3 linked regions of the Oryctolagus cuniculus genome follow. The protein of the gene in region 3 binds, or shares a complex with, the protein of the main gene of each other region. Links are inferred from orthologs where the notes say so. Each region holds a gene or a part of one and is shown on either strand. Other genes may lie near its edges.

The links.
Region 1: the proteins of TFDP1 (region 3) and RB1 are in contact, whole or in part, in a crystal structure (PDB 2AZE), measured with the Homo sapiens proteins. The link is inferred for Oryctolagus cuniculus from reciprocal best matches to the Homo sapiens genes TFDP1 and RB1. Residues at the interface, in NP_009042.1 of Homo sapiens: Gln222, Glu225, Leu226, Gln229, Ile262, Val271, Asp273, Asp288, Asn289, Thr290, Phe291, Glu292, Ile293, His294, Asp295, Glu298, Arg302; in NP_000312.2 of Homo sapiens: Ile835, Ser838, Phe839, Thr841, Ser842, Phe845, Gln846, Ile848, Asn849, Val852, Cys853, Asn854, Ser855, Val858, Leu859, Lys860, Arg861.
Region 2: TFDP1 (region 3) and MYBL2 share a complex: the UniProt entries of both Homo sapiens proteins name them as parts of the DREAM complex. The link is inferred for Oryctolagus cuniculus from reciprocal best matches to the Homo sapiens genes TFDP1 and MYBL2.

What each region holds. Positions count from the first base shown.
Region 1 is NC_091440.1:67,476,194-67,479,828, forward strand, and holds part of RB1 (retinoblastoma-associated protein), read left to right. Parts: intron 1-1,727; coding exon 1,728-1,870; intron 1,871-2,369; coding exon 2,370-2,419; intron 2,420-3,635. UniProt on the Homo sapiens protein: Tumor suppressor that is a key regulator of the G1/S transition of the cell cycle. The hypophosphorylated form binds transcription regulators of the E2F family, preventing transcription of E2F-responsive genes.
Region 2 is NC_091442.1:15,288,343-15,292,094, forward strand, and holds part of MYBL2 (myb-related protein B), read right to left. Parts: intron 1,458-3,752; coding exon 1,386-1,457; intron 607-1,385; coding exon 514-606; intron 1-513. UniProt on the Homo sapiens protein: Transcription factor involved in the regulation of cell survival, proliferation, and differentiation. Transactivates the expression of the CLU gene.
Region 3 is NC_091440.1:500,557-505,061, reverse strand, and holds the start of TFDP1 (transcription factor Dp-1), read left to right. Parts: upstream 1-1,595; 5' UTR 1,596-1,677; intron 1,678-1,688; exon of another isoform or gene 1,689-1,827; intron 1,828-2,023; exon of another isoform or gene 2,024-2,047; intron 2,048-2,420; exon of another isoform or gene 2,421-2,442; intron 2,443-2,657; 5' UTR 2,658-2,718; coding exon 2,719-2,730; intron 2,731-4,505. UniProt on the Homo sapiens protein: Can stimulate E2F-dependent transcription.

The sequences.
Region 1 (3,635 bases), about 67 Mb from region 3:
AATACTTTCTCAACCTTGTTGTTGAGGAATTTTTATGGGGTTTGATTATATAGGTATAATTGATAAACAGGGTCTCTAGCCCCTCACCCCTCCCTGAAGGTTATGGGTGTGTCACTGAAAGTGCCAAGTCAAGGCTTGGTGTTTCTGGTGACCAGCCCCCATCCTGCTGCTATCTAGGAGCCCAAAAAGCATTGAACAAAGATGGTCCTATCACCCTTATCATTCAGGAAGTTCCAAGAGTATTAGAGCCCTGTCCCAGGAACCCAGGACAAAGACTAAAAATCTTTCTGTGATAGCACATGTGTATGTATATAATCCCACAGAAATGTTTACAAAATAGTTTTGAAACTCACTAATATGATTATGATTTGAAATGAGATACTTCAAACTGTAAGCACCACAATCAGATGTCACCACTGGTCTTCTCATTCCATATATTTGTGTGTACTCTTTTGTTTGTTCTTCCTTTCAAGCTTCTAGGATAGTCTTTCCCTGGAATATTGACTAGGAATTGGTTACATGCATCCCCGCCTCAGTAAAAATGGCAGGGCCTAGGTATGCTAATCTTTGTTCTAAGAGATCCAAGGGAAAGCTTAACTTTGAAAGTTAATTCTAGCCTGAGAACTCACTACTCTAATTGCCTCCTGTTAATGTTATTAATTCAGTCCCACATGCAATGTGTGTTTCTATTACTTTGCCAGTCCCCACGTTAGTGTTTCTTACCAAAGGTTTTTGCTTTGCTGTCTCAGGATTCTCCCTTAGGGGACACACACACACACTCCTGGTACACTTAATTTCTGTAGTTCTTGGGATTTTTTAAATTTTTTATACTTTATGAATTAGCAGCATTTCAACAAATACCATAGATTGATAGTTTAAAATATGTAAACTATATGACTTATCAACATAATACCCATTAAGTGAATTAAAAAGTATCCACCGAACCCATCCCCTCTTATCAAATTCCTGTGACTATCCCTCTAGTTATATAATATTCTTAAAAAAAAAAAAGCTAACAGAAACCAGGTCTATTGTTCCAACTTTGGCTGCTTCTTAGAAGTTGCCCTGCTTCTGTGTGTGGGTGAGTTCTGAAAATGAGGAACCAGGGCTTCCACTGGGGTGGTCAGGGTTGTTGAGAAAGAGTGGGAGCCTCATGGGAAAAGACAGGAGGATTTACAAAGAGTGGCTGGGACAGAATTAGGTACAGTTTACTCTGATTTTGAAATTTTTCATACCTTTAACTTGGTCCAGTAGAGTAAAAAATTAAAATGAAGAGATTACCTCTGCCTGCTTTTTTGACACCCTTTAAAACTACAGTTTGGGGGCCGGCGCTGTGGTAGTAGGCTAAACCTCCGCCTGTGGTACCAGCATCCCATATGGGTGCCAGTTTGAGTCTCAGATGCTCCTTTTCCGGTCCAGCTCTCTGCTATAACCCAGGAAAGTAGTGGAAGATGGCCTGAGTGCTTGGGCCCCTGTACCCATGTGGGAGACCTGCAAGAAGCTCTTGGCTCCTGGCTTCAGATCTGTCCAGATTCAGCCATAGTGGCCATTTGAGAGTGAACAGTGGATGGAAGACCTTTCTGTCTCTCCCTCTTTCTGTCTGTAACCCTACTTCCCAGGTAAATAAATAAAATCTTTAAAAAAAAAAAAAAAAAAGAACTACAGTTTGGGGTTGCTAACTATAAAACGCTGCCACCTAATGATTTAAAGAATTCTGTAATTTGTAGACTTCTGAGAAGTTCCAGAAAATAAACCAGATGGTATGTAACAGCGATCGAGTGCTCAAAAGAAGTGCTGAAGGAAGCAACCCTCCCAAACCCCTGAAAAAACTGCGTTTTGATATTGAAGGAACGGATGAAGCCGATGGAAGGTAGGAACCACTTCAGGATGTTTCCCAGGAGTGGAGCCAGTCATCTGGAAACCCTGAGTCTAGCTCTCGTCCCGCTCCTACCAATTCCTTCCAAGCCAATTTCATTTGGAAATTGTGAGAATGGCTCAAAATAATAGCTATGAATGTAGCCCAAAGTTAAAAACACTAAACAAGTATTATACTACTGTCTTCCAAAATTCAGAGAAGATATCAGGCATTAAAGATCTGTTTTTGTTTTTTTTTTTTACAAAGCTATTGATAAAATTTTGTTAGTTTTAACATTAGATTTAAAAGTGTTTAGAAAAATACTGGAAAATATATGGGATCAAATTTTTGGCATTTATATTTTAAATAGTTAGTTTATAAATCTTTGAAATTAAAAGCTACTCACAAAGAAATAACATAAAATAAATCATTGAAAGCAATACAGTTACTGGAAATTTGAGTTTTCCATTTATACATGTATAAATTAAGTATTTTGTATTTTTTTAATCTGCAGTAAACATATTCCAGGGGAGTCCAAATTTCAACAGAAACTTGCAGAAATGAGTAAGTACTTATCATCTGACCTTATGTAAATGAAAGAAGAAATTGATTATCTTGCAGTCTTTTTACTTTATTAAAGAATATACATATACATATTTCTTTCAACTAGCAGACTCTTTTATGCATTTAAAGTGTAAATCAAGACCATATTATGTACCTGTAAACATTAGTGATTGAGTATGAAGCAACGTGAAGGATGTCTTCACCCCTTCTAAAATCCTTGGTGTAGGAACACTAAGAAGTGAAATCCTGCTTGACTACATCTTCAACACAAAATGACTGTTGGAAAATACTTCAGAATTGTAATGAGGAACTCTTTTTTTTAAAAAAAGATTATTTATTTATTTGAGAGGTAGAGTTACAGACAGTAAGAGGGAGAAACAGAGAGAAAGGTCTTCCTTCCATTGGTTCACTCCCCAAATGGCCACAACGGCCGGAGCTGCGCTGAACCAAAGCCAGGAGCCAGGAGCCTCTTCCGGGTCTCCCATGTGGATGCAGGGGCCCAAGCACTTGGGCCATCTTTTACTGTTTTCCCAGGCCATAGCAGAGAGCTGGATTGGAAGAGGAGTAGTAGGGACTTGAACTGGCGCCCATTTGGGATGCTGGCACCACAGGCAGAGGATTAACCTACTGTGCTACGGCACCAGCCCAATGAGGAAATTTTTAAGACTGTTTGGTACAGGAAAAGGTTTTAGAAACCTATCGTATTTAAACTTTATCACCTTTATTTAAAGAATGATCTTTTAGGATTAGACATTTAGCCTAGAGGTTAAAGATACTGGTGAAGACACCCATGTCCTGTTTTGGAGGATCTGGGTTCAATACCTGGCTCTGGCTCCTGATTCCAGCTTCCTGCTAATGCACACAGTGATGGCTCACAGATTTGGTCCCTGTCATACATGTGGGAGACCTGAATTGAGTTCTCAGCCTACTCCTGGCTTGCAAGGTCCAGCCCCAGCTGTTGTGGGCACTTGGGGAGTGAATAGTGGTTGGGAAGCCCATTCTCTCAGTTTCTCTACCCCTCAAATAAAATTTTTACAAATATATTTTATTCTGCTATTATTGAGCTTTGTTAATTTGCAAACTTTAAAACATAATTTCAAACAGAAGTCCTGTTTATTACTAGAAATCAGAATTTCAATAGCTATTTTCTCAGTTACTTAGAGCGATATACATTTGGAGAGTTAAAGCAAGTGGAACACTATCCTGAGCAACTCTA
Region 2 (3,752 bases), on a different chromosome or scaffold from region 3:
GCGGCCATTGGAGGGTGAACCAACGGCAAAGGAAGACCTTTCTCTCTGTCTCTCTCTCTCACTGTCCACTCTGCCTGTCAAAAAAAAATAAATTAAAAAAAAAAAAAAAAAAAAAAAAAAAAAAAAAAAAGGACACAGCATTTACAAGGCTCAGTGCCCAGGAAAACGGTTCACCAGGCACAGTCACCGTTATAACAAGAAAATAGCACCTGCCACCCTCTGTAAGCTCAGCTGGTGCAGGGACCACACAAACCCCTCCCGTGCATCACCTGTCCAACCTTCACAAAAACCCTACTGCAGGGACCAAGAAGCTGAGTGTTCTGCCCAACAGCCCCAGCTCCTGATTGCAGACCCTCTGGATCAGGACCTGGGGCCTCGAACTGGACACCTGGGGACACCCGGGCTGATCGCAGGCTGGCTCACTCCCAGGTTCATGTGCATGGACATGCCCACAACGGTGCCTGCTGCCCTGCAGGTGGGTGAAGGCCCACTGAATACAGGTGGCTGAGTTACCTTCTGGTCCTCCTCTTTGGTCCAGGGCCCCTTGACAAGATCTGGATTCAAAACTCTCAGCCACCGGTACTGGCATTGCTGGTCAGTGCGGTTCTGGGAAGTGAACAGGAAGAACATTCAGGAATCTGTGAGAACTCCTGATCCATGGGCTGGGACCCTTTGGAGCACTGGGCTCAGGGGTTCAGGGCCCAGTGTATGCCACCACCACCACCCCCACCACACACTGCAGGCCCACACACGAGGACACGCGTGGCTTCCCTTTGCTGCAGACGGGGACAGGTTCGGGCCCCTGTAGAAGATCACCTCCCACTACCCACACAGGCAGCCACCCCTGCCAAGCCTGTAACAGACTCATGAGGTTCCAGATCCCTGCTTTCTTTTGGGAGAGTGTTTCTATTTCTGAAGCACCACACGGATGAAAAGCAGATGAACAAAGTGGACAAAAGGGCTCTGGTGGCTCCGACCTCTAGTGGCCCTGGGGACCCAGGCAGTAAGCCAGAGAGCAGACACCTGCAGCCTGGGGGTGGGGTGGCTGCAGGGCCTTACTGTGCAGCCGCAGCCGGCGGAAGCACCACCTGCCCCCAGCTGCAGCCTCACTGTTGAGGAACCCAGCACCCATCCGCTCCAGCAGTGCACGAAGCAATGCAAATAAGCATGTCACTGGCCACAGCTACAAACCCCGCAAAGCCCCGGACACACGAGGCAGCTGTGGGCAGAGGCTTCGCCTCTGGGAAGCAAGGTCCCATGAACACAGTCGTCTTTTACGTGGTTCTCCTTCGGAGGGAACTGGTAAGAACTCCCTCGCCTTCTCCCTGGCAGGAAGCTTGTCCCCGGCACAGTGGTAGGTCGGCGAGAACCCCTGCCATACTCACAGGAAAGTGGCTGGCCAGGAACTTCCAATCCTGCTGTCCGAACTGCCTCACCAGGGCCCTCAGCTGCTCATCCTGCCAACACGAGGAAGACAGAGCTCAGCGCACACTGTGCAGGAGGCCGCCTCCCAGGCGCCCCCAACAGTAGCCCCTCCAAGAACAGCTCCGTCCTTCCATCCCGGCTTAAAATGACCACCTACTGCGCGCCAGGAATGGCAGTCACAGCGGCAGGCAGCAACCCTGAGGGGCTTATGGTCTAGGGAGAGCTCATCGAAAGCTCAGAGACACAAAGAGATGCACAGTAATGGGAACGCAAAGCTGGAACACTGGACTCAAGTGAACAAGGGACGCGAGATGGTTCTGGAGGGACGGCAGGGACCAGGCCTCATGCAAAACTGACGCCTCTGCAGCAGGCTAAGCCACCGCGGCATCTGAGCAGTGAGCATTTACGGTCCAATGGCTTGTGACAAGGGCTCCAACGTGCTTGCTGCAAGGCAGGAAAGGGGATGGAAGGAGGCAGAGTGGACATGCGAGGCCAATACTGCACCCAGGCCCGGGGTGACAGGACTCGGCTCTGGAGGTGGGGTAGCCATGGGCAGAACTGAGAGCAGGCAGAAGACACGTTCTCCTGAAGAGGAGCTACTGTCACACAACGTGCATCTCGGGATCCTGATAGGTCAGACATAAACGGGGACATACCGGATCATTCCACGCACACGGAATCTAGAAGATGTGAACTAAGATACAGGAACAAAAAGGAAGCCAGTGGTCGGACAAAAGAGACAGCAAGGAGAGCGAGGACTGTGTTGGGGGTAGTGGAATGTTCTGGAACGTGACTGCTGCTATTCGTGGCTGTAAACAAGCACCTGTGAAATTCACTGAGCTGTACGTCGAACGGCAGTTGATTGTATATAAAGTATTTCTCAATTTTATAGAAATAAAATATATAGGAGTATTTGGAATAGCAGTTAAGATGGCACTTGGGGGGCCTGGCGCTGTGGTGTAGCAGGTAAAGCTACTGCCAGCAGTGCCAGCATCCCATATGGGCACCGGTTCAAGTCCCAGCTGCTCCATTTCCAACGATGCTCCCTGCTAATGTGCCTGGGAAAACAGTGGAGGATGGCCCAAGTCCTTGGGCCCCCGCACCCGCATGCGAATCCTGGAAGAAGCTCCAGGCTCCTGGCTTCAGACCAGCCCAGCTCCAACTGTAGTGGGCATTTGGAGAGTAAACCAGCAGATAGAAGATTTCTCTGTCTCTCTGCCTCTCTGTAACTCTGCCTTTCAAATAAATAAATAAATAAATCTTAAAAAAAAAAAAATATGTCACTTGGGACACACTTTCTCATATCAGAGTGCCTGAGTTCAAATCCCAGCTCTGCTCCTATTCCAGCTTCCTGCTAACAATGTGTACTCTGGCTCAAGTACTTGAGTCCCTGACACCCATGCAGGAGACTTGAATGAAATTCCTGGCTCCTGGTTTTGGTCTGGCCCAGCCCCAGCTGTTAGAGGCATTGAGAGTAAATCAGCATATGGAAGATTTCTGTCTAATAAGTAAAATTTTTAAAAAATATGATATACACAAAGAAAACATGGTAAAGACATCAATGAAATATGACCCAGTCTTAAAAAAAAAATGAAGAAAAACAGAGGCTAATGTGGCACAACGGATTAAACCACCACTTGCCACACCAGCATCTCATATCAAAGTGTGGGTTCGAGTCCCGGGCTATTCGGCCCCGACGCAGCTTCCTGCTAATGTGACTAGCAGAGCAGGAGACGGCTCAGGCCCCTGCACCCACGTGCAAGACCTGGATGGAGCTCTGAGCTCCTGGCTTCTGCCTGGTCCAGCCCCAGCTGTCAACAGCAATTCGGGGAATGAGCCAGTGGATGGAAGCTCTGTCTCTCTTGCTCTGTCACTCTGCCATTTGAATAAGTAAATAAACAAATCTCTAATTAAAAAGAAGGCAAACTAAAAAAAAAAAAAAAAAAAAAAAAAAAAGGAAATTCTGAAACATACTAGATGGAACAGGGACAACCCTTGAGGACATTTTGTTCCATGAAATAAGCCAGTCACAAAAGGACAAGTACTGTGTGCTTCCAGTCACGAGGTACCGAGAGCAGTCAAAGCCACAGAAACAGAAAGCAGGCACCTAGCAGCCAAGGGCTGGGGAGAGAATTAGTGCCCAAAAGGTAAGAGTTCCATTTCTCAGAAAACAGAAAGCTTCCTAAGATCTGCTGCCCCGTAGACCATGGGGAATACTTAACACTGCCATACTGTGCCCTGAGAAAGGGTTAAGGCCAGGGCTGGGCCAGGCTGAAGCCAGGACTAGAACTCCATCCAGGTCTCCCAGATGGGCACAGGGGCCCAAG
Region 3 (4,505 bases):
TGCAAATCGGGACTGGCGGGCGGCGGCGCGATCCCACTGCACGGAACACAGGCTTTCCCGGGACAGGAGGATTTTAGGGTTTTGATCTTAGAGGCGGGGGGACGGAGGGAGAGCGGGAGGGACTGCCCCACCCCTGGCTCACTCCCAGATGCCCACGTGGCTGTGCACCAGCCTAGCAGGGCACTCACGTGGGTGGTGGGCACCCAGCTCCTGGGCTCTCAGCACTGCCGCCCACGACTGGAGTCAGGAGCTGTCTTATTCTACTTATCTCTTTGAAAGGCAGAGGGAGAAGGAGTGTGCGAGACAGAGATCTTCAGTCTGCCCACAACAGCCAGGGCTGGGCCAGGCAGAAGCCAGGAACCAAGAACTCCATCCAGGTCCCCCATGTGGTGGCAGAGACCCAGGTACTTGAGCCATCACCTGCTGCCTCCAAGGGTGCAGATTAGGGGTCAGAGGCAGAGCTGGGCCTTGAAGCCCTGTGGGGTTCAGGTGACATGATCAGTGTCCTCATCCCTGGGCCAAACACCGCTCCCCCCAGCCCCATCAACCTTCTCTAAGGACCTACTGTGTGCTAACCAGACAGGAAGGTTTCTGCCACAAAGAAACCGAACTGCTGGCACAGAGGACAGGCTGCCAGGGTGGGGCTCTCCTGGGCAGGAGTGGGTGCAGTGGGTGTGGATGGGGTGGGACTTGGAGGTGTGCAGAGGGGTGCAGGGTGGGAGAGCCCTTGTTATGGCTGTGTGGGACTCCGTGCAGCCTGGGCTCGGGACCGGCCTCCACAGCCTGCCGCCAGCCCTAGGTGACAGCTGTGTCTGCAGGGCAGGGCCCAGTTCCACTCTCCGTGGAAAGGCTGCCTGCCCTGGCGCCCAGGAGGTGTGGAGTCGCTGGGACTCTGTGAGGAAGCCGCCGGGATGCGGAGCAGGGCTGGAGACCTCCCCTCCCCTCCCCTCCCTGCCCAGACACCTGCGCCAGCTCAGCGCCTGCCTCCACCCCTGCATCCATGCAAACCAACGCGCCCAGGACCCTGGTCTGTGCGGCACCCTCGCGCTTGGCTTGCCTCCATCTGCTACTCCTCCACGTGCACACTTGCACCTGACCCCTTCTCCTCCCTGTGCACACGCACTGGTGTACACAGCAGCCCCAGCCCCATGCACACAGGCGAGCACACAACTGGCCCCCTTTTCCATGCACACAGCAAGTGCTCTTGGCCTCCTGCCCTGCAGGTGCCTCCTCTCCACCCCCTACACCCATGTCTCGCCTCCAGCTCTGCCCCCCACCCCGGCCCCCTTGCAGCTCTGTGTGCGCACACACAGCTTGGGTCTCCTCCCACAGTCTCGCTCCGTGCATACACACACACACACACACACACACACACACACTCATGCGCGCACACACGTGGCCCCTCTGACCCGCGCGCGCATCCCTAGCGCCGGCTGGCTCCATCCCGTCCGGCGCACGCGCAGGCTCGAACACGCGCGCACGGCCCTCCCCTCCCCCAGGGCGGCAGCGCCGGCGGGAGGAGCGGGAGCAGGAGGGGCGGAGGAGGAGGAGGGCGCCGAGGAGGAGGAGGGCTCCGAAGGCGCGAAAATGCGCGCAGGCGCGCTGCGCGGAGCGGGCCCGCCGCCGCCCACGTCACCGCGCCGCGCGCACGTCACGCCGGCCCGACGCTCGGCCAGGGTGAGCCCCGCGTCCCGGCGCCGCTGGCCCAGGGCAGGGACCCCGCCAGGGCCGGGAGCGCCGCCCGGCCCCCGCCGCCCGCCCGCGCCCCGCGGCCGTGTCCCCGCGCGGCCCGCGCCCCAGACTGCGCGGCCATACCGGGCGAGCCAGGTGCGGGCGGCGGAGGATGCGGTGGGAGCCGGCGCGACGGGGCCGGGCGAGCGCGGGGCGCGGGCCACGCGGGGCGCGGGCGGGCGGCGGCCCCCGAGCTGCGTCCCCGCCGCGTGCGGGCGCCGCGCGGCCCCGGCCCTCCCGCGCCCTCCGGGCCCCGCGCGCTCCTGGGCGCCGGGGCCCCGCGCCAGGCGCCCTTGCTGCGGGCGGGGGCTCCCAGGTGACCGGGCGGGGCGGGCGGGGGTACGGGGCCTGGCCTCCGGGGCCGATGGCCGCGCCCGCGCCTTGGGGGTCGGGGTCGGGGTCGGGGCCGGGCCGCGCGGGGCGGGGCGGGAGGCGCCGCGGGGCTGGAGTGCGCGCGGTGGCTGCGGCCTAGTGACAGATCGCAGCGGGCGGGGACCCGAGAGCCCACCTGTCAGAGTTACCGGTCGGCGGCCGAGCAGCCCGGCGCGCAGCCCCTGGAGGGTCCGGGGGAAGACCTGGGAACTTGCACGTTTGGGCTGTGCCCTGTTGGGTGGTCGTGTGCGCCTAAGTGGGGGACCCAAGCCCACCCTGCGGAGGCGGGCAGCGCGCCCCGGGCTCACCGCGGTCTCGCCTCCGGACCGGCCATTTGGGGTGCGCGGGGCGGGGGGGTTCCGGGCTGCTCGCGGGGTCTGAGGGTGGCGAGCGCTGCGAGAGCCTTGCGTCCAGGCTCTAGCGAGAAATCTCAGCCGCCAGGCCCTCGTGCAGGCGGGGGAGACGTCTCCTTTAAAGTGGGACATCTTGTAAACTTAGTTTTTCATCCTTGCTCATTTTTCTTTTTTCTCTCTCTTTTTTTTTTTTTTAACCAGAAAAGTCTTTTCTTCCTTGGAGAGTGAATGTTGATAGCATTGGTTTCCTGGACCTGGTAACATGGCAAAAGATGTGAGTACCTTTGCTTAATGCTCAAACACCTGTGCCTGGCACCAGCCCCTCCTGTTTGTGCCTTTGTCAGAGGGGCAAAACCTGAGTTATTAGTATTTCCTGGCTTTTTAAGAGAGGTTGGTTTGTTTATTTGGAAGGGTGAGAGACAGAGGGAGAGCTTCCATTAGCCGGTTCACTCCCCAGATGGCCATATGGCCACATAGCCACATCTGGGTCGGGCCAAAGCCAACAGTTTCATCTGGGTCTCCCAGCCTGATGACAGAGGCCCAGGCAGTTGGGCCATCTTCTGCCCTCCCAGGCGCATTAGCAGGAAGCTGGAGCAGAAGCAGAGCAGCCGGGACTTGAACTGGTGCTCCTATGGGATGCTGGCATTGCAGGTGCCCACTGAACCCTCTGCGTGCCACAATACCATCCCCTTCTCGGTAACTTTTTAAAGTTGGGTGGAGAAATAGGCTCTTAGGTCCAAGAATGAACTGAGTTTCCCATCATGCCGTCAGATTCCCTGAAACGCGGGGTCTTTGCACACTGGTGCAGACGGGCTGCGTGCTCGTCTCCTGCATAGAGCTGGAAGCAGGCTGGTCCTGCTGCCTCTGTGCGCGACTGCAGGTTGGGTGGCTTTGGAGCGCCTTCTGTCAGCTCAGATTTCCCGAACTTCCTGAGCCGCGTCCTCTGTCTGTGCCGGTCAGGGGCTCCCTGTCCTCGGATGCAGGCCTGCGCAGGGAGGCGCGCAGCCCTCCGGGCGCTGTGTGCAGGGTTTTGGTTTGATGTTCATTTTAAAACTGCTGTCATTTGGTTGGTGCCATCACTCCTGGAGGTGCCAACATGTGGCAGGTGCCCCGAAGCAGCTGGACTCCCACAGTTGCCCAGAAAGGGTGGTGCCAGACCCATGCCCAGCCGCATGCTTCTGGTTTCTGGACCAGTTTGCTCTCGTCTCTTTAAATGCTTAGATACTCACTGATGTCATCTTCGAAGCCCTTTGTGGTTCCACGTTGGTGTGGCTGGCACCGTCTGTGTGGCACGGAGAGAGGCGTGGGAGGGAAGGACAGACAGGTGCTGGAGGAGGGGGACCCCGCCACCCCAGCAAGGTCGCCGGGCCAGGGCACGGGCTGTGCTGGCCCCCTAGCTGGTCATCGTTGCATTTGAAGGACTCGGAGTGTGTGCTGTTGGGAGGTGGCAGGGTCTCACGGGCTGAGGAGTGGCTGTGGGGCAGACTGGCAAGGTGGCCTCCGTGTTCTACAGACAAGGGCTGTGCTGGTCCCGTGGCTGGTGACGCTGCTTTCTTGTCATCCACGTGCTCTTAGGCGGTGGCAGGGTCTCACGGGCTGAGATGCAGCTGGCAGGGCAGAATGGCAGGGTGGCCTCCGTGTTCTGCAGACAAGAAGTCAGGGTGTCGGGGACAAGCTGGAAATGGAGGCTGTGGGCAGGTGATGCTGGAGGGTGGATGGGCGACCAGCAAGGGTGAGGGCCCGTGGGGGGCCAGTGGCTGTGTTGTGCACAGGTTGCCTGATGAGGTTGTTGCAGAGTGGGCCCTCTGGTGTGAATTGAGGGGCCCAGAGCCCGCTGGGGGCCCCTAAGCTAGTTTTTGGTGCCCCCTGCTCATCTCATGCGGTGATTTCTGCGGTCATGAGCAGCTTCTGATCGCACAGGCCTCTGTGTGGCCTCTGGGGTGTGTGTGAGGAACGATGGTCTCTGTTCGTCCTCGTCATCCTGTGAGCCCTTTCTGGGCCCGTGGGCCGGGAGGGTGCGTGCTGGCCACAGCCTGTGGTGGCTGCTCC